Arabidopsis thaliana: one gene and its partners. The protein of the gene in region 1 purifies or fractionates together with the protein of each later gene. This does not show direct contact. Each region holds a gene or a part of one and is shown in the gene's direction. Other genes may lie near its edges. The genes, in order: EIF2 GAMMA, EIF4E, La1 and AT4G39520.

Region 1 (8,301 bases):
ATGAAACAGCCAGGATTAGTCAGGATAGACTAAAGCAAGCGTTGGCGGCAGAATCTAAAGTAGCGAAGTTGAAGACTGCGATGCAGAGGTACTGTTTGCATGACTCTATCTATTAGCAGTGGCAGTAATATATTACTTATCTTGTTCAGACAATAAGCTGATGTTTCATTTGCAGGCTTGAAGAGAAGATTTCAGACATGGAAACTGAGAAACAAATTATGCTTCAGCAAACAATCTTAAACACTCCTGTGAAATCTGTAGCAGGGCATCCTCCAACTGCAACTATTAAGGTAGAATTGTTTCTAAGATACTGAAACATATGGTCTTTTGTGTTACCTTCTACTTGTGCTTGATGTTAAACTTTTTGGTCCTGTTTGCAGAATCTGGAAAATGGCCACCGTACAAACTTGGAAAACCAGTTCAATGTAGGGTAGCTCTTCCAAAACTACTATCTTGATCTCTTGGATTTCTCATATCCTTTTCTTTTGCATTTTCTGTTGGTTTGTTCATCTGAGAAGTATACTTTTTCAGGAAGTTGAGGTCAATGGAAATGCTGGGAAATCTGCTGCAGAACGTCAACTTGTACTGGCCAATCACTTTATACTATATATGCAAACAGTTTTAACAAGTAACTCTGTTAATCTGATTTTCTCTGCCGGTGCAGGAGAATGTTGATACTCTCATCGACTGTGTTAAGGAAAACATTGGTTTCAGTAATGGGAAACCTATTGCTGCATTTACAATATACAAGTGTCTTCTTCACTGGAAGTGCTTTGAATCAGAGAAGACTAGTGCGTTTGATCGTCTTATTGAGATGATTGGTTCCGCGATTGAGGTAAATTGGGGTGCATTTTGTGCCATTATGAAGATACTGATATGTCCCAAAATGAGGATTCTTATGTATGTCTTGTAAAATGGCTGTTAATTCCTAGGGCATGGAAAGACTTATTTGCATAACTTATTATGTCACCTGCTTGAGATAGGATTCAACTAGCCGTTGCTTTCTAATTTGACACTATATGTTGTATGTTCTCTTATATCCTTTTATCATACACTAATCATCTAGTGGAGAGGAGTATAAGCCTTTTTTTTGTTTGTCTTATCATTTGGAAGTAACAATTGCTGCTCTACTGAAATTTTTTTCTTTTCAGAATGAAGATGACAATGGTCATTTGGCGTATTGGTTGACAAACACATCGGCACTACTGTTTTTACTTCAAAAAAGTCTTAAACCTGCTGGCGCCGGAGCAACGGCAAGCAAGAAGCCACCCATAACAACTTCCTTGTTTGGAAGAATGGCCTTGGTATTTTAACTTTCTGTGTTAGTAGGGCTTTTTGACGGATCTTTTACTTTGAATCTTAACTATCCTTTCCCTTATTGTTTAACCAGAGCTTCCGCTCATCACCAAACCTTGCTGCTGCGGCTGAAGCTGCTGCTCTTGCGGTGATCCGCCCAGTGGAGGCAAAATACCCGGCTCTGCTTTTCAAGCAACAGCTTGCAGCATATGTGGAGAAAATATTTGGGATGATTAGGGATAACTTGAAGAAAGAGCTCTCAGCTTTAATATCTATGTGCATTCAGGTTTCATTGACTTCTCTCTTTGCAGCTATATATTTTTGTCCTGACTTTACGTTGTTGTATCCTAATGCTGTGACCACTCGCTTGTTGCGTTGCACCTTGATAATAAATGTGTTTTACTATTGTAACAAGTCCTGTTCTGTCAAAACTTTGAACTTCAGGCACCGAGAATTTCAAAAGGAGGGATACAAAGATCTGCTAGATCTCTTGGAAAAGATTCTCCTGCTATTCACTGGCAGAGCATTATTGATGGTCTCAATTCGCTGCTTGCCATATTGAAAGATAATTATGTAAGGAAATAGTAAAAGTTCCATGACATTATTCTGTTTTCAAATCCTCAAATTCTCATATGTTTCATGGTGTACAGGTTCCTTTGGTACTCATCCAGAAGATACACACTCAAACTTTCTCGTTCGTCAATGTGCAACTATTTAACAGGTAAATAATACTTGAGAATTACATCTAATGGTTTCTACACACCTTATCATCGATACTCGTCAAAGTACAAACCTTCCTATGGTTGATATTTCTCAAATTCCTATGGAAGATATAAGCCAAGATCACTAGTGTTTTCTTACTTGGTTTTTTCCTTAACATCTTACAATAGCCTTCTACTGCGTAAAGAGTGTTGTACATTCAGCAATGGAGAATTTGTAAAGTCTGGGCTTGCAGAGCTAGAATTGTGGTGCGGCCAAGTCAATGAAGTAAGTTCCTACCTCACGTTTTCCTTCCGGAAAAAGTTTCTTTCGGCTCATTATATCATTCTTTGATTTTGCAGTATGCTGGGCCATCTTGGGATGAACTGAAACACATCAGACAAGCTGTTGGGTTCCTGGTATGTTTTACTCTTGTTTAATACTAACTTGTGGAACTCTTGTTTCTTGAATCTTCAAAAACGAATACTTCTCCTCTCGTAACTTATCAGGTTATCCACCAGAAGTACAGAGTATCATACGATGATATAGTACATGATCTTTGCCCGGTAAAGCTCCTTCTTAGTTTCTAGAAACACGTTTTTGCCTAGACTCCATACTTAATGGCTTTCTTGTTTCACTTTATTACAGATCCTTAGTGTCCAACAACTTTACCGGATATGCACATTATACTGGGACGACTGCTATAACACCCGAAGTGTGTCTCAAGAGGTAATATCGAGCATGCGTGCGCTCATGACAGAAGAATCCAACGATGCCGACAGCAATTCCTTCTTGTTGGATGATAATTCCAGGTAACTCGAATCATTTCTTAAAGATTAATATCAGTAGTAGAAACTAAAACCGGTTTATTGTTCGCAGCATTCCCTTCTCAATAGACGAGATTTCGAATTCGATGCACGAAAAAGACTTTGCGAGTGTCAAACCGGCCAAAGAGCTACTGGAAAACCCAGAATTCGTATTCTTGCACTAGTGAGAAGCTCGGATTCTAAAAAAGCTCTTCCTCTGTTTCTTTTTAGTCTGAGTGGGGGAGGGGTGCCTTCTTGAACCAAAAGGAAAGAAGATTACAAAAGTGTAAATTTTTACTTCTTGTGGGGTTGTTTCTTTCTTGCAAAACCTCTGTGATTTCTCTCTCACCAATTCATTCATTTATTTATTTGACCCCATTTCAAAGTTTTTTCTCCATTTTAGACCCAAGATTATTATCTGGTTTTTTTTTTTCACGGCTCAAGTTCTACACGATGAAGATCCTTTGTTGTTGTTGTACAGAATTAATCTACTTAATTTGTTATAAACTTGCCCCAACTCTTTTCAGTGATTTTTTTTTAAAAAATTTGGGACTCAATCAAACTCCATTACACCTGGTGATATTGGTTTAAAACCAACGTTTCTGACTTCAACAGCCGAGATTCAAAGACTTCAAAACCTTCCAAAAAAAAACAAATTCATAACTGGTTCGGAAAGATAAATTGACAAACCCGAGAGAGATAGAGGAACACGAACGCTTATAGTCGATCGCAAATAGGCCTTTCACTTGAGGTGTCTGTCTCAAGTTCGAATTCTAAAAGTTTTATGGTTTTTTTTGTTTAACTGTGTTTTATGTTGGGCCAAATTGTTTTTTGCTTTTAGGCATTAAATTTAGTCGGGCCGGCCCTGCACATAAAATTAATATGATGAAATGTTTTGGGTTTGATACTTTGATTCATAGAAAAAGTAAATTAGTCTCTACTGATAGTAATTTAATTAAATACTAGTATTTCATTATTTTGTAAGAAATTTTAGAAAGGGAAAAAAAAAAAAGGTTACGCGAAGGAAACCAAAAACCCTTTAGGGACTTGGATAGAAAAAAAAAAACCATTTTGTGCATCTTCTTCAAGCTGCGCCGCTTTCTCACTCTTTTTTATCTCTCAAATTTGACCTTCTCCGTTGTTCTTTCGCATCGCTCAGGTTCGTTTCGATCTCGAATTACATCTCCTACGGATTCAATATTTGTTCAACCTAATTGTTCCCATTTCTATCGCACGAAGATTAGTTCGGGGAATCTAATCGTAATCATAATGTTTTTTTAGATTGCGAATCGAAATTATTGTGATATTTAGGTAACGGAGCTCAGGTATAGAATCTGTGTGTCGACTTGATTAGGGCAGATGTAGAAAAACCTGAGAAGTAGTCTTTTTCAGATTAACTAGGGTTAGGGTTCTGATTTGATGCTCGGTTTTAAGCAGGAGCAGAAGCTTCAATCTTTGATAATGTCGAGGAACAAGGGTTTGGCTGAGCAAGATCTTAAAAAATTGGATGTAACTGTGCTACATCCTCTGTCTCCTGAGGTCATTTCTCGCCAGGCCACTATTAATATAGGTAACGCTTTTTTGAGTCTTTTATATAAGTTGATGTTGAAGAAACTGGCAGTTCCTATAAGCTAAAGATGATAGTGTTATGTTTCAGGAACCATTGGTCATGTCGCTCATGGAAAGTCCACTGTTGTTAAAGCTATTTCTGGTGTCCAGGTAAAATTTGATTATGCGGTTTTCACAATTGTAATCCTAGAGGCTTTTCTAGCTTGCAGCGTTTGATCAATTGGAGTGGGTGAAGTGATTTCTATGGTTTCCTTATCTTCTCTGTACAGACTGTCCGTTTTAAAAATGAATTGGAGCGTAACATTACCATTAAGCTTGGATATGCAAACGCCAAGATTTACAAATGTGAGGATGAGAAATGCCCTAGACCAATGTGCTACAAGTGAGTCCTTCTTACAACAGTGTTTTTATCTTCTACTTCTACTATAAGGTTTGAGTCAAGGTCTAACAACTTATCTGTTGTATTAGGGCCTACGGAAGTGGAAAGGAAGACACTCCCAATTGTGATGTCCCCGGATTTGAAAACTCCAAGATGAAACTATTGAGGCATGTCTCATTCGTTGATTGCCCGGTATGATGAGTTTTACCGTTATCTTTATTCTTCATTAATTACCATTTTCATTTGATAGTATAAGTGTATAACCATTTCATGTGTCAATGAGCTGTTCGTTTATTGTGTATTATCGATGTTGTTGTGCTCCACCTGCATGATTTTGGGTCTCTCATTTAATTGGGTGAAGGGCTTAAAGAGTGAGGGTTGATGGAGAAGTATTCATTGATGTTTCCATCTTTTGCTTTTCTTATCTCTACTTCATTCTTGTTGAATGTATTCTTGTTCTATTCTTCAGGGTCACGATATTCTCATGGCAACAATGCTTAATGGAGCAGCCATCATGGATGGTGCACTACTTTTAATCGCTGCAAATGAAACTTGTCCACAACCACAAACGTCTGAACATCTTGCTGCCGTTGAGATTATGCAACTTAAGCATATCATCATCCTTCAGAACAAGATTGATCTTATTCAAGAGAATGTTGCCATTAATCAGCACGAGGCAATTCAGAAATTTATAATGGTTAGGTTTTCTTATCTCTTAAGGATCTGTTGTAGCATTCTCATTTCGTCACTTGGTTAAGCTAAGTATTGAAGAACTTGGTTCTAAAATTTCTTTCACATCCTGTTGCAGAACACTGTTGCTGATGCTGCTCCGATCGTCCCTGTCTCAGCACAACTGAAATACAACATTGATGTGGTGTGCGAGTACATTGTCAAGAAGATCCCAATCCCTGAGAGGAATTTTGTGTCACCCCCAAATATGATAGTGATTCGGTCTTTTGATGTCAACAAACCTGGTTATGAGGTTGATGAGATCAAAGGTGGAGTTGCAGGTGGAAGTATCCTACGGGTATCTATTCTCTCTCTCTCCCTTTCTCTTGTTGTGCCTCTTAAGTACATCAAGCTTTATATGGTGTAATCAGTATCTCTTAACTACATGTATATTGTAGGGTGTTTTGAGAGTCAACCAATTAATCGAAATCCGACCTGGTATCGTTACCAAAGACGAGCGTGGCAACTCAAAATGCACTCCAATTTACTCTCGCATCATTTCACTCTACGCGGAACAGAACGAGCTTCAGTTTGCTGTTCCTGGAGGTCTAATAGGAGTTGGAACAACAATGGACCCAACTCTCACTCGTGCAGATCGATTAGTTGGTCAAGTCCTTGGTGAAATCGGTTCACTTCCTGATGTATTTGTTGAACTCGAGGTATAAACAACTCCTCACAACCATACTCTTCAGTCTTTATGGTCCTAATGGGTCTCTTAGTGTATTTTCTCCTTTTAATTTGTGGTTATGTAAAATCTGTAGGTGAACTTCTTTCTTCTACGACGTTTGTTGGGAGTGAGAACAAAGGGATCAGAGAAACAAGGGAAAGTGTCAAAGCTAACGAAAGGAGAGATTCTGATGCTCAACATTGGTTCGATGTCCACTGGAGCCAAAGTTGTAGGAGTTAAAGTCGATCTGGCTAAACTGCAACTGACTGCGCCTGTTTGTACCAGCAAAGGAGAGAAAGTGGCTCTAAGCAGACGTGTGGAAAAGCATTGGCGTTTGATTGGTTGGGGTCAGATTCAAGCTGGAACCACCATCGAAGTTCCTCCTTCACCTTTCTAAGCTATGTGTTATTTTTGTCCTTTTTGTTTGTGTTTCTGAAAAAAAGATTGTTAAACCCCTCAAAAAGATAATAAAACTCTTTTTCTCGTTGGGGGATTTTGGAGAGTTCGTCTTTGCGGATTAAACATCTTCAAACAGTACCTGATTTGTTATTGTTACTAGTTTGCTCTTTGTTATTGTTACTAGTTTGCTCTTTGTTTGTGTTTTTCTCTTAGATATTACTAAATTTTGTTGTCTCTCTTTTTTTTTTTGAAATTTTTGTCAGAGATACTCTGCTACTTGACTATACATACTTTCTTCAGAAAAGGAACAACTTCATTACTCATTAGGATCCGATCAAGTACGACTTTTTATAATAAATACGACTTTTTAGTCAAAATGTTCATGTCTTCTCTCTAAAGAACGTTATTTGTTTGCGATTTGAATTGAGTGTCTTGCCTTCCACTGTGTATATCCGTGCGAAAACTTATGTTACATAGACGGGACTGCAGAGGCAGCAAGTCTCCATTCGGCTCATCTGGAACTGTCTCAACAACACTTGCATTTGTGGTTCGCCTTCCCATTGAAATGAGAAGAATCGCTGACTGTGTTCCAAAGTGATGGGTTAACATGCCAACCTTTCATGCAGGGAAACAAGTTTAGTTACCTAGACTCCCGCAACAAATACTTGCACAAATTGAAACTCTGGAAGAAGATAAACCCGAATGGTACTTTCATCACGCACTTGCTCCACAATACCTTCTATTGGCTTGCCCTTCCACAGAGCCAAATTCTCTTCCACCAATAGCTTCCACTTTGTAATGGAGGCGCTCCTTCTTGAAGCGGGGAAAAAGCGTCCGCTCCAGGTTTTAAATTCCTTATGTGACCGTTAATCCTTAGGGGAACAAAAAAAGGAAATAAAGCCATCCAATTGAAAAAAGTGTTAAACTCATTTTAAAAAACATAATAATAATTTTCCCGAAAATTTAAAACTTAAACTTTAAAAAAATAAGTAATAATTTAACTAAAACTATGTTAATTAGAATTTGCCGTGTGAATCACGATGATACGAAGTAAATAAAAGTCTGACTATTATTAAATTTGATTTACTAACGTGTATTTGGTTAATCCAGTAGTTATACCGTGAAGCTTATGTAGCTTTATTTCTAGTCACGAATTAAAACATTAATCTATAGAATTAATTATGACCATTAATTATTTTTATGTGGAAAATAATTAGTCAAAGAAGAAGGTGTGATACTTTTTGCATGTTAGAAATTAATGAACTTGTAACTACTTTGACTGAACATTCTTAATTTTGACCGGACGGTTAGTCGGTTACAACACTAACCATACTTAACGGCTTATTATTGTTGTTATACTATATATCTAATGGCCATATATATATATAACGCTAAAGCTGTTCTCGTTTTTTAAGAGAAAAACAAAACTCGGGAGTTTCATGTGGCCTCATGTGTTTTCTGCTTCTCTTAGTATAAACTTAAGTCACTGATTTATTTCTTGGTGAAGTAGTTAATTAACTAACAGTTGACAAATCAACTAACTTATAGATAATACTCTTATCTTAAAACAATGAATTAATTAATTAACTAAATCATTTAATTCGAAATCAAATATTTTGCCACATTCCCAACGATTGTGATTCACTGGCCAATTAAAAATGTATCTAAAAATGCAATTATTTGCTCAGAATAGACCGTTTGATCATTAGCGATCAATCTCTAACTCAAATACTACGTATTAGCTTGATTATCAACGT
Region 2 (7,058 bases), on another chromosome or scaffold:
GTTTTTTTAACAATATATATCATCTCATATTTGAATGGATAAAATAAGAGAAAATCAGTATTAACTAGTACACGTAACACATCAATGAAATACAAACCGCCGGAATAATAAATTCTGATCAATTAGGCATTAAGTAAATTGACCAAAACAAAAAGTATATTTTACTTTAGGAGATTAGCCGGAACAAAATACTAGATACATTTTAATGTAGAAAAGCATGTAATAATATAAGAACATAATGTAGTCTTCAAGCGACCTTTCCAATATATATTCCAATAATATTTATCGATTCGGAAATTCCGAATTCCCCCCAAACTTTGACCATAGTTTATTCCGTTCGGCTCCACCAAAGATATGTGACTAATTAAATGTTTTGTTCAGATAGCAAACTAAATAATAATATAACTGTTACACTCTTTATTTGCTTAATTTTGTATTCACTTATTATGTTCTAGTTTTGTTTTGTTTTTGGTGTAAATGTTCTACTTTTGTTATTAAGATGGGAAGCTAAAAGCCTAAAAAGTACACGTATAATATAATATTGATTGGTCTTTTTTTTTGTCGGCATATTAATTGATTGGTTTAGAGTTAACAAGAATCATATTAAAAATAATTTAGTCATATGGATTAAGGATAATCCTTAGTGGAGAATCAAACATCTTTATATCCGCAAATTTGTGTGAAAACTTGCTTTTGGAAAAGATGGTATATATGTGTATAGTTGATAACTTATAAGTGTTCTCTAAGTATTACTCCATTTTTCATAATAAATGTTGTTATATACTTTAACAAAAAATATTTTTCAATGTATATTTTAAAAATTAAGTTCCAAACTTTTCTGTTTAATTTTTGCTTTCTTAGTTAATGAAATAAAATGAAATTGCATATCATAAATGTTAATTATAAGATGAATTTATAGTTTTTAATGTGTGAAAATTGTATAAAATGTGCATAATGAAAGGAAATGAGTAATATAAATCATGTGGTGTACGATATATATCAAAGAGAAATAATTCTTATAATCAAACAACACTTACTTAGGTATATATCTCCCAAGCACGGGCCATACGGATAGTTCACCGCTCATTGATAGATTCAAGCTATAATTTTAGTTGTTGTTGTGGCATAAAATTTTCTGGCATCGAGTTGTTGTTATGAGATAACTTCAAACAAATATAAACACCAGATAAGAGACAAGTTTGCTTCCTTGGGCATCATCATTCACCAATGATTACGTAATCAGTGACAATTATATTCGAGTGAACTTAATCAGTGACAATTTGATGTGAAATGATTACATGTATAGCGCATAAATGTTCATGACAGTGTCAAGGAAAAGAAAACCCAAAGAATATAGTGATTAATTTATATATTTTTGATAAAAGTGATTAATAAAAAAAGATGAAGCAAAGTATGCATTAACCTTGTTTTCCATTTCCTTTAAATTTCTTTTTACAATTTAAATTATATATACTCTATGTAAGTCTTACATATCTTTTCATAAAAAGAATGTACATCAATTATGGATTCAAATTTTCTCTGTTCTTTGGACATGTTTTGTAAGTTTACTTTCTTTTCAAAAGTAAATATTAATGTTAATTTTTTAAAAGTTGAAAAGAAATTAAAAAGAGATTTTGATTCTAATCTTTATAGAATAATGGGAGAAACGATGACGCGTTATGCAATATTACCATACAAGTCAATTCATACGATCCAAACTCATCATTTATCAATTATCACTTGTGTCGTCAATACCAGTCAGGCAGTCACTTCTAAACTTTACAAAAAAAAAAAGAAAAAAAAAAACTGTTGATCAGTTCTTTACTACAAAAGAAAACGTCAACTAGCGACAAACTTTGATCTATCGACCATCATTAAGCGCTCGTTGCTAAACAAAAAAGTCGATAGATTTGAAAAATCTCCCGTATATAAAATATGTTGATAAATATAAAATAAGTTTATTTGATTCATTGCATGAGCCATGATTAACGTCGACAACCTTTTTCTTTCTTACATCTGCTTAAAAAAAAATCACACGCACTGAGAAGTTAGATTAAGAATGGTTGACAATTTATTTATTTTTGGTATAAAGAATGGTTGACAATTTATTTATTTTTGGTATAAAGAATGGTTGACAACTAAAGCAAACTTAAACTTATTCTTTTCGAATTACGTATGTACTATCATTATAAATATATTCTCGAATAACTCATATCAAATATATATTTGAAACGTGTATAACTAACATTCGAGATTCTTGGTTTGACGGCATATAGACAAGCCATGCAATTATGTTTTTGCAGCGAATCAAATAATCTTATTTCTTATAAAATCTAAAGAATATATAGCATAGAAATGTAAACAAAAACCAAACTCTATATTTATAGTCTCTCCTGGTGTCGAGAATAACTTTTTTGAGTATATTCTGCACAATTAGTTACTACTTACTAAGTTACTAGTGAGTAGTGATGCACAATAAACAAATTCTGACAGTTAATGGAATAGAACCAGCTTCACTTAGTTATACGTCTCTATCAACTATGAAGTAATAGAATACATTCGACTGCGAAACATTATGAAATCTTTTTATTTTCTCCTTTCTTTCGTTTGACCGATAAAACCAATGGAATGAATATAAGAAATTTCGTTTTGTTTCTGTACGTGGTATATCCACTGATTTAAACTTTTAAATTTACATGCACGGAACTTAAACACAATTGTATATTGTTTAGATTTAGAATATAATCCAGTTGTCTTGTTGGTCTAACATATTATATATATTAATTAACCCAAACTAGGTACATAAACAATTTAATATCTTAAAAGAAATACTATTATGGGGCGGCAGGCAGATCACAACCTTTAGAAATAGAAAGGTAAGACAAACTCACTTATATAGTCAAAAGCTATTAACACTTCCATAAGATATAAATCTCTCAAACTTTTGACAGTCTACAAAATACTTCACATTTTCTTAATAATCATATTATATGCTTTTGTGAAAGCATATAAAAACCTGATCATGTTCGTTTTACAGTTCTGACAATAACAACATGTTTTCTTAACTTTTTTGTAGCTGCTAGCGATCAACGACCAAACTAACGAAAACAACCAATTCTAAAGTTTGTTGTTTGTTTATGTGGTTAGTAATTCAATAATCGAATTTGGCAACCAGTTTTGGTGACTGATTTCATCAACTAATGACTAAAAATTCAGTCTATAAACATTTTCACGTTTCATATTTTGAATTAACGTTAATCACTAAAATTATTTGATTTTTTTGAAGACTACAAAACAAACATAATTTAGTACATGTACTTCAAACTAACACGACCATTAGAAAAACCTTTAAGAGCAAAAAGAGCCGGAGACAAGTTAAAGCCCATAATAGTTGTTAAGTTATCTCTTCGGCCCAAAAAGAAAAAAGACAAGAAGTATGTAATTAAAACGACGTCGTATCATAGTTAACCCTACGAGAGGAAGTACATTAGTTTGGAGAAGAGTAATAGACAGAGAGATAGAGAGAAAGAGAAGCAGTTCGGAGAAACAATGGCGGTAGAAGACACTCCCAAATCTGTTGTAACGGAAGAAGCTAAGCCTAATTCAATAGAGAATCCGATTGATCGATACCATGAGGAAGGTGATGATGCCGAAGAAGGAGAGATCGCCGGAGGAGAAGGAGACGGAAACGTTGACGAATCGAGCAAATCCGGTGTTCCTGAATCGCATCCTCTGGAACATTCATGGACTTTCTGGTTCGATAATCCTGCTGTGAAATCGAAACAAACCTCTTGGGGAAGTTCCTTGCGACCCGTGTTTACGTTTTCAACTGTTGAGGAATTTTGGAGGTTAGGTTTTTGATTTTATTTTATTTCCGACTCAATATCTGGTTTGTTCAATTATTCTGCATCTGGGTTTTGTTATAGGTTTCGATTTGTTGAGGAAAGTTATGTTCTTTATTGGGGGATTAGAAGATCCCATTGAAGTCATTATATGTTTTTGATGAATTGCTATGTTTGGTGTTTGAATTCGTAGCTAAAGCTTATGTTAGGGTTTAGCTTTGATATTCTGTTCACTTGTTTGTGAAGTAAAGTAGAAGAGCAAAGTTTGTGAGAGAAAGAGACCAACTTTGAAATCTTTCTTAGTGGTTTTCTAGGTATCAGAATTTGAGCAAACACTTTCGTGATGACTGAGGGTTGATGTTGTATAGTTCTTGCTCTTCCCAATGAGATTCATAGGTTTGTGTATTGTTCTTTCGACTTCTTATTTTAAAAGACATTTTGGTTTGCAGTTTGTACAACAACATGAAGCATCCGAGCAAGTTAGCTCACGGAGCTGACTTCTACTGTTTCAAACACATCATTGAACCTAAGTGGGAGGATCCTATTTGTGCTAATGGAGGAAAATGGACTATGACTTTCCCTAAGGAGAAGTCTGATAAGAGCTGGCTCTACACTGTACGGTTTCTATTCTTCTTTTATTTTGACTCGTAACTCCTGCGTCATCATCCAATTGAATCTCACCGGTTTTTCTTTTTACATGCTTGGTTTAGTTGCTTGCATTGATTGGAGAGCAGTTTGATCATGGAGATGAAATATGTGGAGCAGTTGTCAACATTAGAGGAAAGCAAGAAAGGATATCTATTTGGACTAAAAATGCTTCAAACGAAGCTGCTCAGGTAAATAGAAAAGACCTTTCTCATCAAAACTCATCAAACAGTCTCTCTGTGTAAAAATAAGACTTTAATTCTCGTCTGCATCAAATGTTGCAGGTGAGCATTGGAAAACAATGGAAGGAGTTTCTCGATTACAACAACAGCATAGGTTTCATCATCCATGTAAGAAGAAAGCTTCTCATAATTCTAATTCAAAAGTCTTCATTTTCTTCAGATCTCTCATTGTTTGGTTTGGTTTCTTTTTTTTTCAGGAGGATGCGAAGAAGCTCGACAGGAATGCAAAGAACGCTTACACCGCTTGAAACCTCTCAAATCTTTGCATTGTTTCAATTACAGTTTTGTATGTGAGAGATCTCTATTTATCTAAACATGACTTGACAGTCTGTCTTTGCTAGTGTTGATTGTTCACGAAGCTCTAACATTTCATTTAGTAATATATTAGTATGGTTCTTCATAATATTTACGTTGGTGCCCTTGTATAAAACCACCGGAGTGAGCGCAAGCTTTACAGACAAACAGTGCTTCTGTCTACCCAAGGCGGGCCTTAAAAGCCTGAATAGTGTATATGTTTACTTGACAAGAGCCCATGTACACTCATGAGCGATTGACTTTAACCGGTTTTAGAGAAAACTACTTTTACATTGTCACATTTACATCCTTTATAATTAACCTTTTAATTTAGGTTTTAAAGATCCACCTCAGCATTTATTTTAATGGAATGATTATTTAGCAGTGTGAACCGATTAACTCGGTTTTTGACGGTGACCGGTTTAGAGGAAATGGGAGTGTCGGTAGGAGATCTAAGTAGCGAGTATGTAAATTGTCCAACTGTCTGAAAAGGACCACTTGGGACGACAAGATTCTTCGGCTAATAATAATACATCACTCGTTTCAACAAATAAAATTTTCCTTTCTATTATTATGCAATCTTATAGCATATGGATTTGATCTTTTTTAATATATAAACAAAAGGTTTTCCAATTATGCTAAACCATAATCTGAAATTGATTTTAAATAGCTACAATCAACTACCCAAAAGCTTCAAATATGCAAAATAATAAAGTATAGGTTTATATATATAAACGCACACAAAAGAGGTTGAATAAAAATAAACATAAGGATGCATGTGCAGTCCAGATTAGATCTAAATCTATTGAGTATTGTAATAATATTGTTATGAAGATCTTGCTGCGAAACTACACACATTTAATTCCAACATGTTTTGTTTATAGAAATTGAATAAAATCAAACGCGCCTTCATCTTCAAGTTAAAAATCAAATCTTAATTAGTGAAGACAAAGAAGAAGAAGACATTATTTTAAGTGAGTTCTCTCTCTGTCACACTCACAAAGCTTTATACTTTCTGGCTACTGCAAGCTCATCACTGAAAAGAGCTTAAACCAGAGAGATCTGATAAGAGAAATTTTAGAGTCTCTCTGCTTCAACAAGATCTACATCGACCAGGTTCAATATTTTTCTCTACTGTTAGTTCGTGTTCTAGCTCTGTTTCAACGAGATCCGATTCTGTGTTTTCGATTTCAGTGCTAAAGTTACGGTCTTTGAATCTTTCTATGTTAGGATTAGTCTTTTGAATCCATAAACTCTAGATTTCAATTGTTAAAGGCTAGGTTTTGATTAGTTTGAATTAGCTAGATCCTTTTTTAACAGATCTTGATGTTTAAGCTCAAAGTTGTGTCGTTATACTGAGAATCAAGTTTGTGATTTGTTGGGAATGGTTTCAGGAGATTAGAAAGAATCATGGGTTCTAAGCATAACCCACCAGGGAATAACAGATCGAGAAGTACACTATCTCTACTCGTTGTGGTTGGTTTATGTTGTTTCTTCTATCTTCTTGGAGCATGGCAAAAGAGTGGGTTTGGTAAAGGAGATAGCATAGCTATGGAGATTACAAAGCAAGCGCAGTGTACTGACATTGTCACTGATCTTGATTTTGAACCTCATCACAACACAGTGAAGATCCCACATAAAGCTGATCCCAAACCTGTTTCTTTCAAACCGTGTGATGTGAAGCTCAAGGATTACACGCCTTGTCAAGAGCAAGACCGAGCTATGAAGTTCCCGAGAGAGAACATGATTTACAGAGAGAGACATTGTCCTCCTGATAATGAGAAGCTGCGTTGTCTTGTTCCAGCTCCTAAAGGGTATATGACTCCTTTCCCTTGGCCTAAAAGCAGAGATTATGTTCACTATGCTAATGCTCCTTTCAAGAGCTTGACTGTCGAAAAAGCTGGACAGAATTGGGTTCAGTTTCAAGGGAATGTGTTTAAATTCCCTGGTGGAGGAACTATGTTTCCTCAAGGTGCTGATGCGTATATTGAAGAGCTAGCTTCTGTTATCCCTATCAAAGATGGCTCTGTTAGAA
Region 3 (7,794 bases), on another chromosome or scaffold:
CTGTGTCATAAACAGTGAAGAGTAAATTTGGAGTAGAACAAACAAAAGTCAAAATCAGAAAAAGTTTAATGATGGATCTGCGGCACTTCGTAACATTCATGAAGATCATTAAGAGCAAATTGTTGTGATTCATTAATGTTTTTGATACAGAGTTCTTTCATGTTCTAATGATGTGCCAAGGCATTTTGGGGCTTGGGACAAAAAAAATAAAATGTGGCCTATCTAATTTAGTTGAATAATTATTTTTAAAGAACCTAAAATATAACTAGAAGAGAAAAAGTGAGCTACAATACAAAATCAAGGTTCTAAATCTATATATTGAAATGAATTATTCTAACATAGATCAAACTTTAAGGAAAATACATGTTTGAGGCAACTAAAACTTGTTAAACCAACCAAATATTTTTAATAATGTGGCCTAAAAATGCACGGCACTGCTATAGTCTACTTCAAAGCAAGAACAAGAACTACTCCTATCAGAATCAATTTTCTTGGAATATAATGTAGACTTAACAGCAAACACGAAATCGGAGTAAGAGAAAAACAATGAATCGAAAATACGAACAGTGAAAGAGGTCAAATCAAAGGAAATCACTTTATACGTTGGATCTCCGCCGAGAGTCCAATTAGCTTCTCCCAGTTTGGTGATGATTTTTTCCAGGAAACTTCAGATCAAACGATGGAATCAAAATCAAGAGTCAAAAAATCTTGCCGCAGAAGTAGACGTCAAATAACAACTTTTCTAAAAATATAAACTAATTTTGTCGAACTTGTTTACTTGGCTCTTTGAACTCGATCGTTGAATTTCACAAAGCATGATTTTCTATATATAGCTCAATCTATTTTTGCTCTGAGTTAAGAATATTTATAACGAGTGTTGATGATGAAAATGAATACTTGTAATGAGAATAAAGATTAAAACACAATAAATTTCTTCAAGTAACACGAACAAAAGATTATTATCAACTATTTTAATTAATCATGAAATTTGCTACTTGCTTTTTAGTTTCTTACGTTCTTGTCTTTCTCGTTCTTAGCGTCTGTAAAGGTAATATATACCAGATATTTTCTTTCGATTCTGTTTCGTTACTTGCGTAATATAGAACTATGACCCTTACAAATTATTGGCAAACAAAATTACAGTGTTGACATTAGAAAAAACTAACAAAAATGTTGTTCTAGAACAATGTTTTTTGTTTTGTTTTTTTTTTTTTGCATTATCAATAATTGTTTTATCTAAAGAGCTTCAACCAAAAACAAACTAACAGTTCTTGTTGTAGAAGTGGAAGCCAAAGAACTGTGTAATAGAATAGAAGACATCGATGGAAATTGTGACTTTGAAGGAGAGAAGGGGTGCTTGAAATTCATGACGAATAAATATAAGAAAGAAAGACATGTTAGCTGCACATGTACTAACCTTTACATGTTACACAAGACCAAACGTTTTTGCGACTGTAAACATCGCTGCTCAGGATAAACTCCCCTAACCAACATTGCTTTTACCTATTTTTTAGTTTTTACTAATAGAATTGTTATGAGTGTTTGTAGTGTTGTCATTTTCATGACCCATAAATAAGTTATGTTATTCTAATGTATCTCTCTTTTTCCACACAAATTTTTAATAAAGTTATGAGTTACTTCTTTCTAAGTAGTTAGTATGAGTTTTCCAATCAATCTATTTTCCACGTTCAGTTTTCCAAATTGTATTGATCCTGTTATAGTGTAATTACGCATTTTGTAATTGGCCATGGTACTACAATACTAATACTATCATGTTATCTGCAGACTTCAATCTTTTATTTTTAAAAATTAATTATTAGCATTTGTAATATTGATGTAATTTTAATACAAACTGTTTATTAATTTGTTTGAAAACTTATGTGGACAAATAAAATTAGTATACAGAACAAAAAAATATGTTTCAATACCAAAAAAAGTTCACTCCCTAAGCTTTTCTGTCTCTTAAGGATAACATCCTGGATGAGGTCTCTCGATGATTCCCCCCACATACAACATAACCATATAAAAAAAAAATCATCAGCCAAGTGAAGCCTCGGGAACAGTAGTGTGAACCTTTGGATCCTTGGCCTATCGTCAAATGATCGACGACGGTCGAGTTGATTGATCCTACACAGTACACAACCTGAATGTTTTCCCATAGCATCTCTGCTTCATCTATTCCTTGCTAGTAGGATTGATCCCAGAAAACCATAAATTTGTTTTATAAAGATTGAACGTTTGTCTATAGATTAATTTTCAATGGATTAAACATTGTAAATTAATGGTCTTATGGATTTTGTGAGTTTAGATTATCAAGGTTAGAACTGTGTATTTTGAAAAGAATAGGTGATGCGTCATCACAATACACGCAAAAAAAAAAAGTGAAAAATATATAATACTAGTAAGTAGATTTACAAAGAAGAATTTTTCCAAAAAAGAAAGAGTTGATCCGTCGAACTCGTTAATTAAGAAGGCTCGTTGAATTTTACAAAGCAAATTCTAAAAAAAGATGCATCTATTTTTACGATATCTCGAATATATTTATTATGAGTGTTGTTGATAAGAAAGATAAAAAATTCGAGAGGCAAACAATAGTTTTCTGCAACTATAGAGATAATTAATAATTCTTATCAGCTTTTCAATCATGAGATCTGTTATTTGGTTTATAGTTTCTTATACTCTCATGTTACTCGTTCTGAGAGGTGGTAAAGGTAATATGTTGAGTTTTTTTTGTATGGACGTAACTCGTATATAATAAGATATAAAACAAGGATGTTCTTTCTAATTGCAAAAACGGTGTTGTGATTAAAGGAAATAAAAAGCATTGTTACAACGTTAACATATGGTTTAATAGTGAACTTATTTGGATTGTCATTTGTTTATTAATCGAACTAAAATTAACGTTTTTTTTTTTTTTTTTGGTTTGTGTGGTTGAGAAAACAATAGAAGTGGAAGCTGAGAAACTGTGTACAACGATAGGAGACTTGGACGGTAAATGTAGCCAAGACGGAGAAAAGTTGTGCATGAGATACATGACTGATCAATCTAAAAAAAAGTTTCTTAGCTGCACATGTAATAACGTTGTTATGTTACACAAGTACAAACATTATTGCGAATGTCAATCTCATTGTACTCCAAAACAAACGTAAGCTGTAACTCTATAATCAATATATCTCTTTACAACTAAATAAGAATTGTTGATAGAGTTTGTAGTGTTTTCACGACTCAAAAATACAAATGTTGTGCTGATTGAAGTATGAATTTTTGGTTCAAGTCTTGATCTTGATCATTGAAAAAAATCGTGAAAATATTGATCAATTGCCAACGAAAAGACGTAATGGGGTGAATCAGATAGTGTAGGATTATTTGGGGTAATTTTGTTACATTCTAAAGTATAGTGGGTGGGGTTAAATTGATAGTATTAAAAAAGTCAAGGGTTAATACGAAATACAAATATAATCAATAGCGAAAAACCAAAAAATAAATAAATAAATGACAATTTGACTCGAAAACTTTAAGAGAAAATGGAAACTGTGTCTCAATAAACCCTAGTACCCTTTTTCTCTCTTATTCTTCTATCTTCCTCCTCCTCTATCTTTCGCTCGAGCCATTGAGCAATTATGTCGATTCCTTGTCTAACCGAAGAGACAGCCAAAACTGTTCTTCGCCAGGTACAAACTTGTCTTCTTCTTCTTCTTCTGCGGTTCCTCTCTAGTAGCTTCACCAGTTTTTTTTCTTTCGATTATGTTCTGATATTTGATATCGATTTTATAGGTGGAGTTCTATTTCAGTGATAGTAATCTACCCATTGATGATTTCCTCAAGAAGACTGTTACAGAGAGCGAAGATGGCTGTAAAGTTTTAAACTTTTAAACAAATTCAGTCGCTATCGCTGTGTATTTTGATTTTTTTTTGTTATGGCTAATTGATGATTTTTTGGTTTGTCAAATAGTGGTGAGTTTGGCGTTGATTTGCTCCTTTAGTAAGATGAGAGGATATTTGAAGTTGGGTGATTCTAAAGGAGATGATATTCCTGAAGATACCATCAAAGCTGTTGCTGATACTCTTCGAACCTCTTCTGCTCTCAAGATTTCTGACGATGGTGAGTTTCATGATATAATCAAGTTTCTGTTGGGTTTGGATATAGTTAACAATTGCTTTAATTGATTCAAACGAAGTAGTGATATCTTAGAAGAAAGATAATAGTTTGAGAGTTTCAATTATAGGTGAATGGCCTGTGTAGTGCATAGTTTAAACTTAGTTTCATTAAGAAAAGTCTTTGCATGTGGATTTTACAAGTTTGATAATATGTGGTGTCAGATTGGAGAAATATGTTTTGTACAGTTTAGTGATCAATTTTGTTGGATTTTCTTAAACAGGGAAAAAGGTTGGTAGGAGTACTGAATTGTTGAAGCTGGAAGATTTGATTGAGCAACTTAATGCTAGAACAGTAGCTGCGTCACCTTTCTCCTATGATGTTAAAAGGGAAGACGTGGAATCCTTTTTCAGTCAGTATGGAAAGGTAATCCACTATCGATTGAATCATAAGCCATTGTTCAAAATTTAGATTGGTTATACAAGTTTTTGGTATATGTATGTGTCGTCCTTGCAGGTTAATAGTGTGAGGATGCCTCGTCATGTTGCAGAGTCGAGGATATTTTCTGGTGTTGCCTTGGTTGAGTTCCCTACAGAAGAGGATGCCCAGAATGTTATGAAGCAGAATTTGGTCTTTGCTGGTCAGGAGTTGGAGCTGAAACCAAAGTAATCATACTTAGACATGAAAACATGTCCTGTTTGCTGACTGTTTCTCATTTTACAAGTCTTTCCATTGAATGTTTGGATGGGTTACTTAAAAGGTGATATATTCTTTTCAGGAAAGAGTTTGATAATGAAAGGGAGAAGGATGAAGTAAAATTTGCTAATTACCAACCTCAGAAGGGATCTGCAAATCAGAAGAATGGTTCTGATCACAAAAACAATTCTGCTTATGAGCCAGAGTAGGGGTTTGACTGTTGCTATCTAATTACTTGTCTTTTCATGCTAATAATCCTCTTGATCTGATTATGGCTATTTTATCGTATTGTAGTTATCCCAAGGGTTTGATCATTTCATTCACCCTCAAGCGTTCAGCTGAAGAGGGTACCACGGAACAAAAAAGTTCTGAGGAGCCAACTGATAAGACAATGGAAGAAAGTGAAACAAAGCCAGCAGATACTCCTGATGCTGATAAAGAAAACACTGGTGAGGTTCAGGCCGAGGGAGCAGAGGATGAAGATGATGAGAAAGAAGAAAAGGGTGCTCTAGCCACCCATAAAGATAATAAGGATGTTGTCTTACGTGAAGATCTTAAGGCTGTTTTCGGAAAATTTGGTGATGTCAAGGTACTACTTGAGTTTTACTTAGCTGTCTGTCAACATGAATCAGATTCAATATCTCATATAACTGACATCATTTTCACTGATTCCTTTATTCTTTTTGTTGTGAAGTTTGTTGATTTCAAGATGGGATCTGAGACGGGTTATCTTAGGTTTGATGAACCTGAAGCATCCCAGAAAGCCCGTGCAGCAGCAGTATTAGCCAATGAAGGTGGACTAGCCGTGAAGAATTTTATTGCTGTCCTAGAACCTGTTATTGGTAAAAACACCTTTTCAACTTCAATCTTATCTTATAACTAAACCTTGTGTTCTGCTTTAGTTAAATGGTCACTTGTTTATATTGCTCTCTGTCAGGCGAAGCTGAAAAGGAGTATTGGACTCTCCTACGAAGCAAAGATCGGTTTGACAAGGGTGGCCGTGGAGGAAGGTGAGTTCATGTTTTTGTTCTGGTTTCTTTGTTATGATTTTGTTTCAAATGAAGTTTTTGTTTGGTTCTTCAGATAATAATATACTTGGTCTATGCAGGGGAGGAAGAAGAGGAGGGAGATTCGGGAGAAAGAGGGGATCAGATTCACCGGGTGGTCGCTGGAACAAATCTCAGAAGGTGGAAGCATGAGAGATTTCGCTCGTGACTGCTTCTGTTTTTCAATATATTTCTAGTTGCAACTTTAAATTTAATGTATCGACTGGTGACTCGTGATGTTATAACTAGAAATAGCTGCTTATTTGGCAAATTTTGGTTTAGTCATATTTGGTATTGTTTTGTTTAGCTTTATGTGCCTTCTTATGCACACATCTCTTTCCTTAATTATTTTAAATCGATGTTTAGGAAGCATTCTAAAAGACAAACTATTAATATTAACTGCTAAAAGTATATTCCTGTAAATTCTACAACTGTATCAATTGACTCACTGATGATGACACTATTTTACTTGAAGTAGTTAAAATTAATTTTGAAAATCAAATAGTTTTGGTATTCTTCTTGGTCTTCTCGTTTGACTTTGTCTACATTGTTATTAGGTTTTTATGCTGATTTTAGAATTAGCTGTTACTGGCAATTTCATCTTCTTCCTTTTTAATGAGAAAAAAACTCTTCTTTCATACAAAGAATGCTTTGCCGTTGTTTAGAAGAAGAAGCAACAGAGAATCTCGAAAGAAAAATGAATGAAGAAACGTATAAATAAATAAATTGAACTTTTATGATATGAGAGACTAAAAAGCGAGATTCAGAGATTGAAATCAACGGCTGAGATCACTTTCCTTTTTGTTTTGATCTCTCTCTCTCTCTCTCTCTCTCACTTCGAATTCCGTCCGCCTCTCCATGTTTGAGTTTTGAATACCTCTCTCTCTCTCTCTCATTCTCTCTCTCTCTCTCTCTCTCTCTCTCTCTCTCTCTCTCTCTCTCTCGACTTCGATTTCGATTTGTGTTCTTCTTCTTCTTCATCTGGATTCTCAGCGTCTTAATTACTTCAGATTAATTTTGGAATTCGTTGATCTGCAAGGTGTGAGCTTTACTCGTATGACCTCGTCTCCTTCTCTTATTATGGTCACATTTTTGTTAGTTTTCACGGAGACTTCTTCCTGATTTTTCAAAAATCTACTCTTTGAACTTCTCTTACTTTTTTTCGTATAAAGTTTCGATTTTCTTCAGATGATGTTCGAAGCTTTTTTCTCGAGGTTTTTGTTTTGGGTTCTGAAACTAATTCGGGCTTCTTATCTTAGGTTTTTTTGGATCCAATCTCAATATCTAAAGCTACCTTCTTCATTCTGTGAACTTCTTCCTTGTTTTGACTTTAGTTTGCTCTTTTGCTGTGAAGCTAATGCTGATTCTTAGTCTGAGTCCGACTGTGTTTTTAATTTTATGGTTTATCTTTGTTTCAAATTACAGCAATGTGCTTCGCTTATGATGATTTCTAAGACATATCAAAGAAACGGACTTTGGGGTTTTTCATATTGCTTTCCTTGCTAACTATGAAGCGTGAGATGAAAGCACCTACTACTCCACTAGAGAGTCTCCAAGGTGACCTCAAAGGAAAACAAGGGTACGCTTACATCTCTCTTCCTTTTCTTCTATTGGGTTTCAATGTTGAAGTTGGATTGCTTTTGGCACCAAATTTTGCATTCAACTAGACATTCTCAGGTTAATAATGATGCAAGCTCTTTGTGACATTTTCATAGGAGGACATCTGGCCCTGCTAGACGATCTACCAAAGGACAATGGACACCTGAAGAGGTGCGTTCCGTTCCTGTGTCTTTTTTGTTGTCTATCTGATTCTTCCATGCTTCATATTATGTATCCTGGAACACTGCCTGAGCTTAATCAGTTGTCTCTGTAACACCCTATTGTTGCTTCGCACAGTTCCATTTAACTAGTTGACATTAGCTATCCTTTGCATCTATTGAAGAATTCGTCTCTATG
Region 4 (8,732 bases), on another chromosome or scaffold:
CAAGTCAATAATTAAGTATTTAATTGAAGATAATAAGACAATTAAAAGTCCAAATAAAATGTTAGTGGAAAAAGTGTAACGTGTTTTAAAATTAAGAAATCTTCCTTATGATATGTGACAACTGTTCATATTGTGAGTATCTCAAATGATCTTGATTCGTATTCTTTCCAATGTTTACAGATTTGAATGGATAGAATTTCTCTGTAAACTAAGGATGAAATTTCTAAAATCTGTCTTCTTATTAAACTTAATCATAAAATCTAGATATATATAAAACATAATTACTCCCTCTGTCCCATAAAGAGAAATTTTCTAGGAAAAATATTTGTCTTACAAAAATAGAAGTTTTATATTTCCAATGCAAATTTTAAAACTGTTTTCCCGTTTTATCCTTACTAAATAATTAGATAAATATTTATTATTATTTTTAAAGTATATTAAGAGGTTAAAATTATTTTTATACAATATTTCTTAAAGAATGTGAAATTTCTAAAAAATTCATCTTAGTGGAACGGAGGGAGTATTTACTAACCATAAATGAATGTAAATATTTTACAAATTTCAAGATTTATTAGCAGAATGATGTATAAAATAGGAATATTTAATGTCGTCCAAATAGGAATATTGGTAGGTGAAACGTGGAATTAAAATTCAACATATGTTGCTAAAGGATGGCCCACGCAATGTAACATGCCGGGCCATCAAAATCTACCGTTCTTGTTTTTCGACCAAACCTAACCAAAAAACTTAAATCATCCAATATCATCAGCCACCTGTCGTTTTGATGTTTGGTAGTATAACTGGTTGCCGTTTTATTTATTAGTTCCATCACCCTTTCTTCGCTTATGACAAAAAACGGCAGCATGTTTATTCGTCACAGCACGCTCTGTTCTTCTCACTCAGGAGGATGAGAAGCTATCGCTGTTGGCGTAAAGTCCAAGAAACCATACGTTTATACTCCTCTTCATCTTCTTCTGCTTCAAGTCTTTTGGAATTTGTAAACGCAGATTTTCCTTCTACGATAGGAATCCGAGGAAGGCGCGAATTTGCTCGTCTCTTGCAGCTGCGTGCGTCAGATGATCTGTTGCATTATCAAAATGTAGTTCATGGTCAGATTATTGTTTGGGGCCTCGAGTTAGATACGTATCTTAGCAACATTTTGATCAATTTGTATTCGAGAGCTGGTGGTATGGTTTATGCACGTAAGGTGTTCGAGAAAATGCCTGAGAGAAACTTAGTTTCTTGGTCTACCATGGTTTCAGCTTGCAACCATCATGGGATTTATGAGGAATCTTTGGTGGTTTTCTTAGAGTTCTGGAGAACTAGAAAAGACAGTCCGAATGAATATATTTTGTCGAGTTTTATTCAAGCTTGCTCAGGCTTAGATGGTCGTGGGCGTTGGATGGTGTTTCAACTACAAAGTTTTCTTGTCAAGAGTGGGTTTGATAGGGATGTTTATGTTGGTACCTTGTTGATTGATTTTTATTTGAAGGATGGTAATATCGATTATGCGAGGCTTGTGTTTGATGCTTTACCAGAGAAATCTACTGTGACTTGGACGACCATGATCAGTGGGTGTGTAAAAATGGGAAGAAGCTACGTTTCATTACAGCTGTTCTACCAACTAATGGAAGACAATGTTGTTCCAGATGGCTACATCCTTTCGACGGTTCTAAGTGCATGTTCAATACTTCCGTTTCTTGAAGGTGGGAAGCAGATTCATGCGCACATCTTAAGATATGGACTTGAGATGGATGCCTCACTGATGAATGTGCTTATAGATTCTTATGTGAAGTGTGGCAGAGTTATAGCGGCTCATAAGCTATTCAATGGAATGCCGAATAAAAACATCATTTCGTGGACCACTTTGCTCTCTGGTTATAAGCAGAACGCTCTTCATAAAGAAGCCATGGAATTGTTTACCAGTATGTCAAAGTTTGGTTTAAAGCCGGATATGTATGCTTGCTCTAGCATACTCACATCTTGTGCCTCACTTCATGCTTTGGGATTTGGAACACAAGTTCATGCTTACACTATCAAAGCCAATCTTGGCAATGATAGCTATGTGACTAACAGCTTGATTGACATGTATGCGAAATGTGACTGTTTGACCGATGCCAGAAAAGTTTTTGATATTTTCGCTGCTGCTGATGTGGTTTTATTCAATGCAATGATTGAAGGTTACTCGAGACTTGGGACACAATGGGAACTACATGAAGCATTGAACATCTTTCGTGACATGAGGTTCAGATTGATTCGACCTAGCCTATTGACTTTTGTTAGCCTTCTACGTGCATCTGCTTCTTTAACAAGCTTGGGACTGAGTAAACAAATCCATGGATTGATGTTCAAATATGGGTTAAACTTAGATATATTTGCTGGAAGCGCTTTGATTGATGTTTACTCAAATTGCTACTGCCTCAAGGATTCCAGGCTTGTGTTTGATGAAATGAAAGTGAAAGATCTTGTTATCTGGAATTCTATGTTTGCAGGTTATGTTCAACAATCAGAGAACGAAGAAGCTCTCAACCTGTTTCTGGAATTACAGTTATCAAGAGAAAGACCTGACGAATTCACGTTTGCCAACATGGTTACAGCAGCTGGCAACCTAGCAAGTGTTCAATTGGGTCAAGAGTTCCATTGCCAGCTTCTGAAAAGAGGCTTGGAATGTAATCCGTATATTACAAATGCTCTACTAGATATGTACGCCAAATGTGGTAGTCCCGAAGACGCTCATAAGGCTTTTGATTCAGCAGCTTCAAGAGATGTAGTTTGTTGGAATTCTGTCATCTCATCTTATGCGAATCATGGAGAAGGCAAAAAGGCTCTTCAGATGCTTGAAAAAATGATGAGTGAGGGAATAGAGCCTAACTACATCACCTTTGTTGGAGTTCTATCAGCGTGTAGCCATGCTGGTCTTGTAGAAGATGGACTTAAGCAATTTGAGTTAATGCTTCGATTTGGAATTGAACCTGAAACTGAGCACTATGTTTGTATGGTATCTCTTTTAGGCCGTGCTGGTAGATTGAACAAAGCAAGGGAGTTAATTGAGAAAATGCCGACAAAACCAGCTGCTATAGTATGGAGGAGCTTGCTGAGTGGATGCGCAAAGGCCGGTAACGTCGAGTTAGCTGAACATGCTGCTGAAATGGCTATTTTGTCTGATCCCAAGGACAGTGGATCGTTTACTATGCTTTCTAATATTTACGCGTCCAAGGGTATGTGGACTGAAGCTAAGAAGGTGAGAGAAAGAATGAAGGTTGAAGGTGTGGTGAAAGAACCTGGACGTAGTTGGATTGGGATTAATAAGGAGGTTCATATATTTTTGTCTAAGGATAAATCTCACTGCAAGGCTAATCAAATTTATGAAGTGTTAGACGACTTACTTGTGCAGATCAGAGGAGTTAGTTAATAACTACCATACAAGAACTCATTTTCTATTGGAGTGATGGACTCTATTTGGTTAAAGACCAATGCAGCAGATGAAGCTTAAAAGCGAGCCAAAGAAGAAAGAATAAGCCATGGTTAATATCGAGAAGCTGAAGGGGTAGCTAGCTCAGGAGAGCAAAGATGTTGCTATTAAGTTTTGTAATCAAGGGAAAATCGATTCTGTTCCGTTCAAATCCGAAGGAAGACTCAAAAATTAACCCCGGTTCAGTTCTCAGTTTCTTCTCATCATCTCCTAAAACCGGGTTGAGAGAGAAGTTGTAATGGTGAATGCATGAATGGTATGTTGTACATGATTCATTTGAATTTAGTTAAACCGTTTTTGAAATCAACTAAAACCGAAAAACACCAATTCAAAACAAAACAAAACAAAAATTCAGAACAGGGTTTATTGTATATAACCAAACTAAATTCTCATTCTGTTGTAAATTTTATTAAACCGGAAAACCAAATCGGACATATATGGGCCTAAAATGTTGTTGGGTCAGGCCGAATTCTAGACAGTTCTGTTCTAGTTTTTTCTCCTTTGTCGTAATCAGGTGGACGAAACGAAAACCCTCGGGATTCCTCTGCTTCTGTCTCGTCCGTCGTCGTCAATTTCTCTGCATCAGAGATTCCGGTGTCCTTCTTCCTTTCACTCGCGTATAACCTCTTTTCCTTGACGTTGTCTCCGTGAGCTCTCTGTGCTTTGACTGCAACCATGTCGACTATTATGCAGAAGATCAAAGAAATTGAAGATGAGGTAATTATTCAATCCTCTCTGATTCTTCACCTCTTCTCTTCAATTTTGGATGCATAGAACTGTGAATCCGAAATATCTATTCTGAATCAAAGAAATGATTTTTCAATCTGGGTGACTCACAAGTACGAGGTTTTTTTTGTTTATGTGGCAGATGGCTAAAACACAGAAGAATAAAGCTACTTCTCATCATCTGGGTTTGTTAAAGGTACATTTTTTCTCCTCTTTAGGTCGTTTTTTGTAGCTTTGAGAGTGAGGTTGATTGGTTGAGGTGTTTTTGCTTATCAAATGCAAATTTGGTTGATTGGTTTATATCTGTTTTGATACTTGATAAAAGCTATCATGAAATCCCAACCAGTAAGCAAGCTCATTAAGAAATATTTTAACTTCTGGTTGAAATCGTTTATGTTTTATACGAACTCCCAAATCATTGAATAAGCACAAAGCTGAGATATTTTATTTACGGCATGATCTCTTGTGAAGTTCCTTGGATCAAACAACTACTAGGCAGGCATTATATATTATTCTGTATTGATTTTAGAATTTGGTACTTATTCCTGCACCATTAGCTTCTCGTCATATTTCACTGGTCCATTTTGCAGGCCAAGCTTGCTAAGCTTCGGAGGGACCTTCTTGCACCGCCTACCAAAGGTGGCGGTGGTGGTGCTGGAGAAGGTTTTGATGTGACTAAAAGTGGAGATTCTAGAGTTGGACTGGTCGGATTTCCTTCGGTTGGAAAATCTACGCTATTAAACAAGCTGACTGGGACATTTTCCGAGGTTTGTAGTTATCGTTACGAATATTGAACTTCCTTTCTCTTGTTGTAATTGGAATTTTGAAACCTACCACGTATCCATGGCATCCTATTTCTAGTTACTTTTTGACCAACTTCCTGTGCAATATCACTTATAAGGCAAGACTGTTCGGCGCTAGTCTTTTCCTGGATAGATGAACATAAATCTTGGAATTAGAACTGTATTTTGGCTGATACTCAATTTTCTGAAGGTACATACTGTGATACACAATGTTTTCTCAGGTTGCTTCTTATGAGTTCACGACTTTGACATGCATTCCTGGTGTTATCACATATCGTGGAGCTAAAATCCAGGTATGGTATCTACATCTATGCGTCTGTGTTAATCTGTTATTTGTGGGGGAAAAATGATAATTCTTGGATAGTGTTTCCTCTGTCTTGGTAATTGTTGAAACACAATGAAATCCTTGGCTACATATGCCATGTCCTAGCTTGTAATTATCTTTTCTCGAGTCTTACTTCTATATTAAACATGTATCTTGCTTGATCTTTTAATGACTTCTTGGTACTTAGTTTAAGTCAGGAAACGACCTGTAATTATTCATTGGACACTGATGCTAATACTCTTTTTTATGTCCCCTTCTATGTGTTTGCAGTTATTAGATCTTCCTGGTATTATTGAGGGTGCTAAAGATGGAAAAGGTAGAGGAAGACAGGTAAGTCGAGTCTAAATCTCTTGAGTATTTTATATTTTGACCCTCTTTGATCATCTTTCACACTTTACTATTTCCAGGTTATAAGTACGGCTAGGACATGCAACTGCATCTTAATAGTTCTTGATGCCATAAAACCAATTACTCACAAGCGTCTCATTGAAAAAGAGCTCGAAGGATTCGGAATAAGGTATAGATTGTTTATATAACAACCTTTATACACTGTATATTTGATCGTTTCTGGTAGATAGTCTGACTCGATCATGGACTGTTGCTATGTAGGTTGAACAAGGAGCCACCAAATTTAACATTTAGGAAAAAAGACAAAGGTGGTATCAATCTAACTTCTACAGTCGCTGTCACACACCTTGACCTTGACACCGTCAAGGCGATTTGCGGTGAGTACAGGATGCACAATGCTGACATCACCCTGCGCTACGATGCAACCGCTGATGACCTCATTGATGTCATCGAGGGCAGTCGGATTTATATGCCCTGTATCTATGCTGTCAACAAGATCGATTCAATCACACTTGAGGAACTTGAAATTTTGGACAAACTTCCTCATTACTGTCCTGTCAGGTAAATGTTGTTAAATTACCGGCAGGATTTGCGATAAACTTGTTTACTTTTGCCATTAAGATATAAATTTATTTATCTTGCAGTGCGCATCTGGAGTGGAATCTTGATGGACTTCTGGACAAGATATGGGAATACTTGGATCTAACTCGAATCTACACAAAACCAAAGGCAATGAATCCGGATTATGATGATCCCGTAATCTTATCATCCAAGAAGAGAACAGTAGAGGACTTCTGCATCCGGATTCACAAAGACATGCTTAAACAATTCAAGTAGTAAGTAATTAAAATCCTTAACATTTTTCTTTTCTCTGTTATATGGTTCTTGCTCAAAAGCATCGCTCATGAATACTTAACTAATGATCTCCTGATACAGCGCTCTGGTTTGGGGTTCAAGTGCCAAACACAAGCCACAAAGAGTTGGAAAGGTTAGTTCTTCTAGCAAATCAAACAAAAGTTAATCTGGTAAATCGATATTGCAATATCCCTGACTAACTAACTATTGCTGTCTCGACATCGTATTTTATACTTCAGGAACACGAGCTTGAGGACGAGGATGTTGTTCAGATCGTTAAAAAGATATGATTTTTGCAGATAATGGAGAGCAGTCAAGAGACCAACCAAAGTAGCCATAATGAGATCTCCTATAGGAAGGTCAGGATTTCTTTTGGTTTCTCAGCTTTATCTTTCTTTTGTAATTGTATTATTATATCCAGACGAAATCTGTGTCTACACCCTTTTTTATGTCTTATTAGATACTTTTGTCTTCTTCCAATAATACTATTAAGCATGTGATTGATGTTGTCGGAACACCTCCTATTATCTCCAGTATGGGTTTGCCTAGATTTTCTCCTCCCTTGTTTTTATGTATGCAACTAGACTTTTTTGGATTTTATTTACTAAACATATGATTCAGTTTTTCTTCATGTAATAAAGAAAAACTGTTAAAACGGCCTTCATTGCACTGACCAGGTCGAGGTGTTATTATTTCTGACAGTTAGTTGTTACTTGGACTGTTGATTAAATTTAATGACATTAATAGATTTGGAAAACTATTACAACGACCTTCGTTGCAGTGTCTGGGACCGTGAATTCTGATGCACTTCTCGATTTGTCTATCCTCTTAAAGTTGGTTTGTCATTTAGTGTCTGAAATTGTAAGATTATGGACCCTTCTTTACAAGTCCTCCACCAATTCTGTCTCATCCATTTGTGTGGTTAGTAGCTTCACCAGCTTAACACTTTCACTAATCTTAATTCTTAAGATATGAAAAGCAGTTGAATGAATGCATTGGTAATTTCTTTCTTTTTTAATAAATTTTCTTTTTGTTGGTTGCTAATTTATATATGTAATAATCTTACTCTATATAAACAAGTTCCTTCAACACACAAAAGGAACCACCACCATATTGTGTCTGTAAACCAAGCTCCTAACTCTCTCATATGGCTTCTGTAAGCTTACTTGACGTTGCCATAGCCATCATTTGCCTTTTCTTCTTCTATTACATGTACTTCAAGAAACCTCATGGTCAGGTTTTTCGAAACTGGCCAGTTATTGGGATGCTTCCAGGCTTCCTGATGGTTCTCCACCGCATCTACAACTTCGGCGTGGAGGCTCTTGAAATGAGCCACTTAACCTTTCTATTTAAGGGACCGTGGTTCGCTGAAATGGATATGTTGTTCACAGTTGATCCAGCTAATATTCACTACATATTGAGCTCAAACTTCTCCAACTATACCAAAGGTGCCGACTTTAAAGAAGTCTTTGATGTTTTTGGAGAAATGATCTTTAGTTCGGACTCGGAGCTATGGAAGAATCAAAGAAAAGCTGCTCAATTCATGCTTAATCATCAAGGCTTTCAAAAGCTATCATTGAGTGCAACGAGGAGTAAGCTTTACGATGGTCTTGTTCCTCTTTTCAATCAATGTTGTGAGGAAGAGAAGGTCGTGGATTTGCAGCAAGTGTTTCAAAGATTCACTTTTGATACAACTTTCTTTATTGTTACCGGGTTTGATCCTAAATCTCTCTCTATTGAAATGCCGGAAGTGGAGTATGCTAAAGCTCTTGACGATCTTGGAGAAGGGATTTTTTATAGGCACATTAAACCGAAGTTCTTCTGGAAGCTGCAAAACCGGTTTGGGTTAGGGCAAGAGAAGAGGATGACTGAAGCTGATGCCACTTTTGATCGCGTTTCTGCGAAATACATATTAGCTAAGAGAGAAGAGATAAGGTCACAGGGGATTGATCATCATGCAAATGGTGAAAGTGAGGATCTTTTGACATCTCACATAAAGCTTGATACAACCAAGTACGAGCTCTTGAACCCGAGTGATGATAAGTTCCTCAGAGACACCATCTTAGCTTTCAATCTTGCTGGGAGAGACACAACGTCTTCTGCTCTCTCTTGGTTTTTTTGGCTTCTCTCTGAAAACCCTCAAGTTGTAACAAAGATTCGTAAAGAGATCATCGACAAAAATATTTCAAAAGACGGAAGAAAT

What was found.
Region 2: the proteins of EIF2 GAMMA (region 1) and EIF4E fractionate together in Arabidopsis thaliana (co-fractionation; one large-scale study listed by BioGRID). This does not show direct contact.
Region 3: the proteins of EIF2 GAMMA (region 1) and La1 fractionate together in Arabidopsis thaliana (co-fractionation; one large-scale study listed by BioGRID). This does not show direct contact.
Region 4: the proteins of EIF2 GAMMA (region 1) and AT4G39520 fractionate together in Arabidopsis thaliana (co-fractionation; one large-scale study listed by BioGRID). This does not show direct contact.

What each region holds. Positions count from the first base shown.
Region 1 is NC_003070.9:1,093,161-1,101,461, forward strand, and holds EIF2 GAMMA (eukaryotic translation initiation factor 2 gamma subunit), read left to right. Parts: upstream 1-3,721; 5' UTR 3,722-3,960; exon of another isoform or gene 3,961-4,126; intron 4,127-4,238; 5' UTR 4,239-4,262; coding exon 4,263-4,371; intron 4,372-4,458; coding exon 4,459-4,520; intron 4,521-4,639; coding exon 4,640-4,752; intron 4,753-4,838; coding exon 4,839-4,941; intron 4,942-5,218; coding exon 5,219-5,446; intron 5,447-5,557; coding exon 5,558-5,776; intron 5,777-5,876; coding exon 5,877-6,137; intron 6,138-6,239; coding exon 6,240-6,542; 3' UTR 6,543-6,741; downstream 6,742-8,301. Other genes in the region: XIB (myosin XI B), read left to right, coding at 1-88, 176-290, 381-425, 532-582, 665-835, 1,152-1,304, 1,391-1,582, 1,741-1,869 and 6 more.
Region 2 is NC_003075.7:10,014,643-10,021,700, reverse strand, and holds EIF4E (eukaryotic translation initiation factor 4E), read left to right. Parts: upstream 1-3,468; 5' UTR 3,469-3,549; coding exon 3,550-3,848; intron 3,849-4,291; coding exon 4,292-4,457; intron 4,458-4,552; coding exon 4,553-4,678; intron 4,679-4,771; coding exon 4,772-4,837; intron 4,838-4,926; coding exon 4,927-4,977; 3' UTR 4,978-5,171; downstream 5,172-7,058. Other genes in the region: AT4G18030 (S-adenosyl-L-methionine-dependent methyltransferases superfamily protein), read left to right, coding at 6,434-7,058. UniProt on the Arabidopsis thaliana protein: Component of the protein complex eIF4F, which is involved in the recognition of the mRNA cap, ATP-dependent unwinding of 5'-terminal secondary structure and recruitment of mRNA to the ribosome.
Region 3 is NC_003075.7:15,783,693-15,791,486, forward strand, and holds La1 (La protein 1), read left to right. Parts: upstream 1-3,501; 5' UTR 3,502-3,620; coding exon 3,621-3,671; intron 3,672-3,774; coding exon 3,775-3,853; intron 3,854-3,952; coding exon 3,953-4,102; intron 4,103-4,379; coding exon 4,380-4,522; intron 4,523-4,612; coding exon 4,613-4,761; intron 4,762-4,874; coding exon 4,875-4,997; intron 4,998-5,086; coding exon 5,087-5,381; intron 5,382-5,486; coding exon 5,487-5,634; intron 5,635-5,729; coding exon 5,730-5,802; coding exon of another isoform or gene 5,803-5,806; intron 5,807-5,900; coding exon 5,901-5,991; 3' UTR 5,992-6,304; downstream 6,305-7,794. Other genes in the region: SCRL25 (SCR-like 25), read left to right, coding at 982-1,048, 1,281-1,477; SCRL24 (SCR-like 24), read left to right, coding at 2,645-2,711, 2,947-3,149; PC-MYB1 (Homeodomain-like protein), read left to right, coding at 7,347-7,417, 7,554-7,608. UniProt on the Arabidopsis thaliana protein: Binds to the 3' poly(U) terminus of nascent RNA polymerase III transcripts, protecting them from exonuclease digestion and facilitating their folding and maturation.
Region 4 is NC_003075.7:18,369,416-18,378,147, reverse strand, and holds AT4G39520 (GTP-binding protein-like protein), read left to right. Parts: upstream 1-3,908; 5' UTR 3,909-4,147; coding exon 4,148-4,189; intron 4,190-4,340; coding exon 4,341-4,394; intron 4,395-4,788; coding exon 4,789-4,965; intron 4,966-5,222; coding exon 5,223-5,294; intron 5,295-5,596; coding exon 5,597-5,656; intron 5,657-5,733; coding exon 5,734-5,843; intron 5,844-5,935; coding exon 5,936-6,235; intron 6,236-6,318; coding exon 6,319-6,510; intron 6,511-6,610; coding exon 6,611-6,662; intron 6,663-6,768; coding exon 6,769-6,819; 3' UTR 6,820-7,283; downstream 7,284-8,732. Other genes in the region: AT4G39530 (Tetratricopeptide repeat (TPR)-like superfamily protein), read left to right, coding at 908-3,412; CYP96A12 (cytochrome P450, family 96, subfamily A, polypeptide 12), read left to right, coding at 7,677-8,732. UniProt on the Arabidopsis thaliana protein: Binds GDP and GTP, and has low GTPase activity in vitro.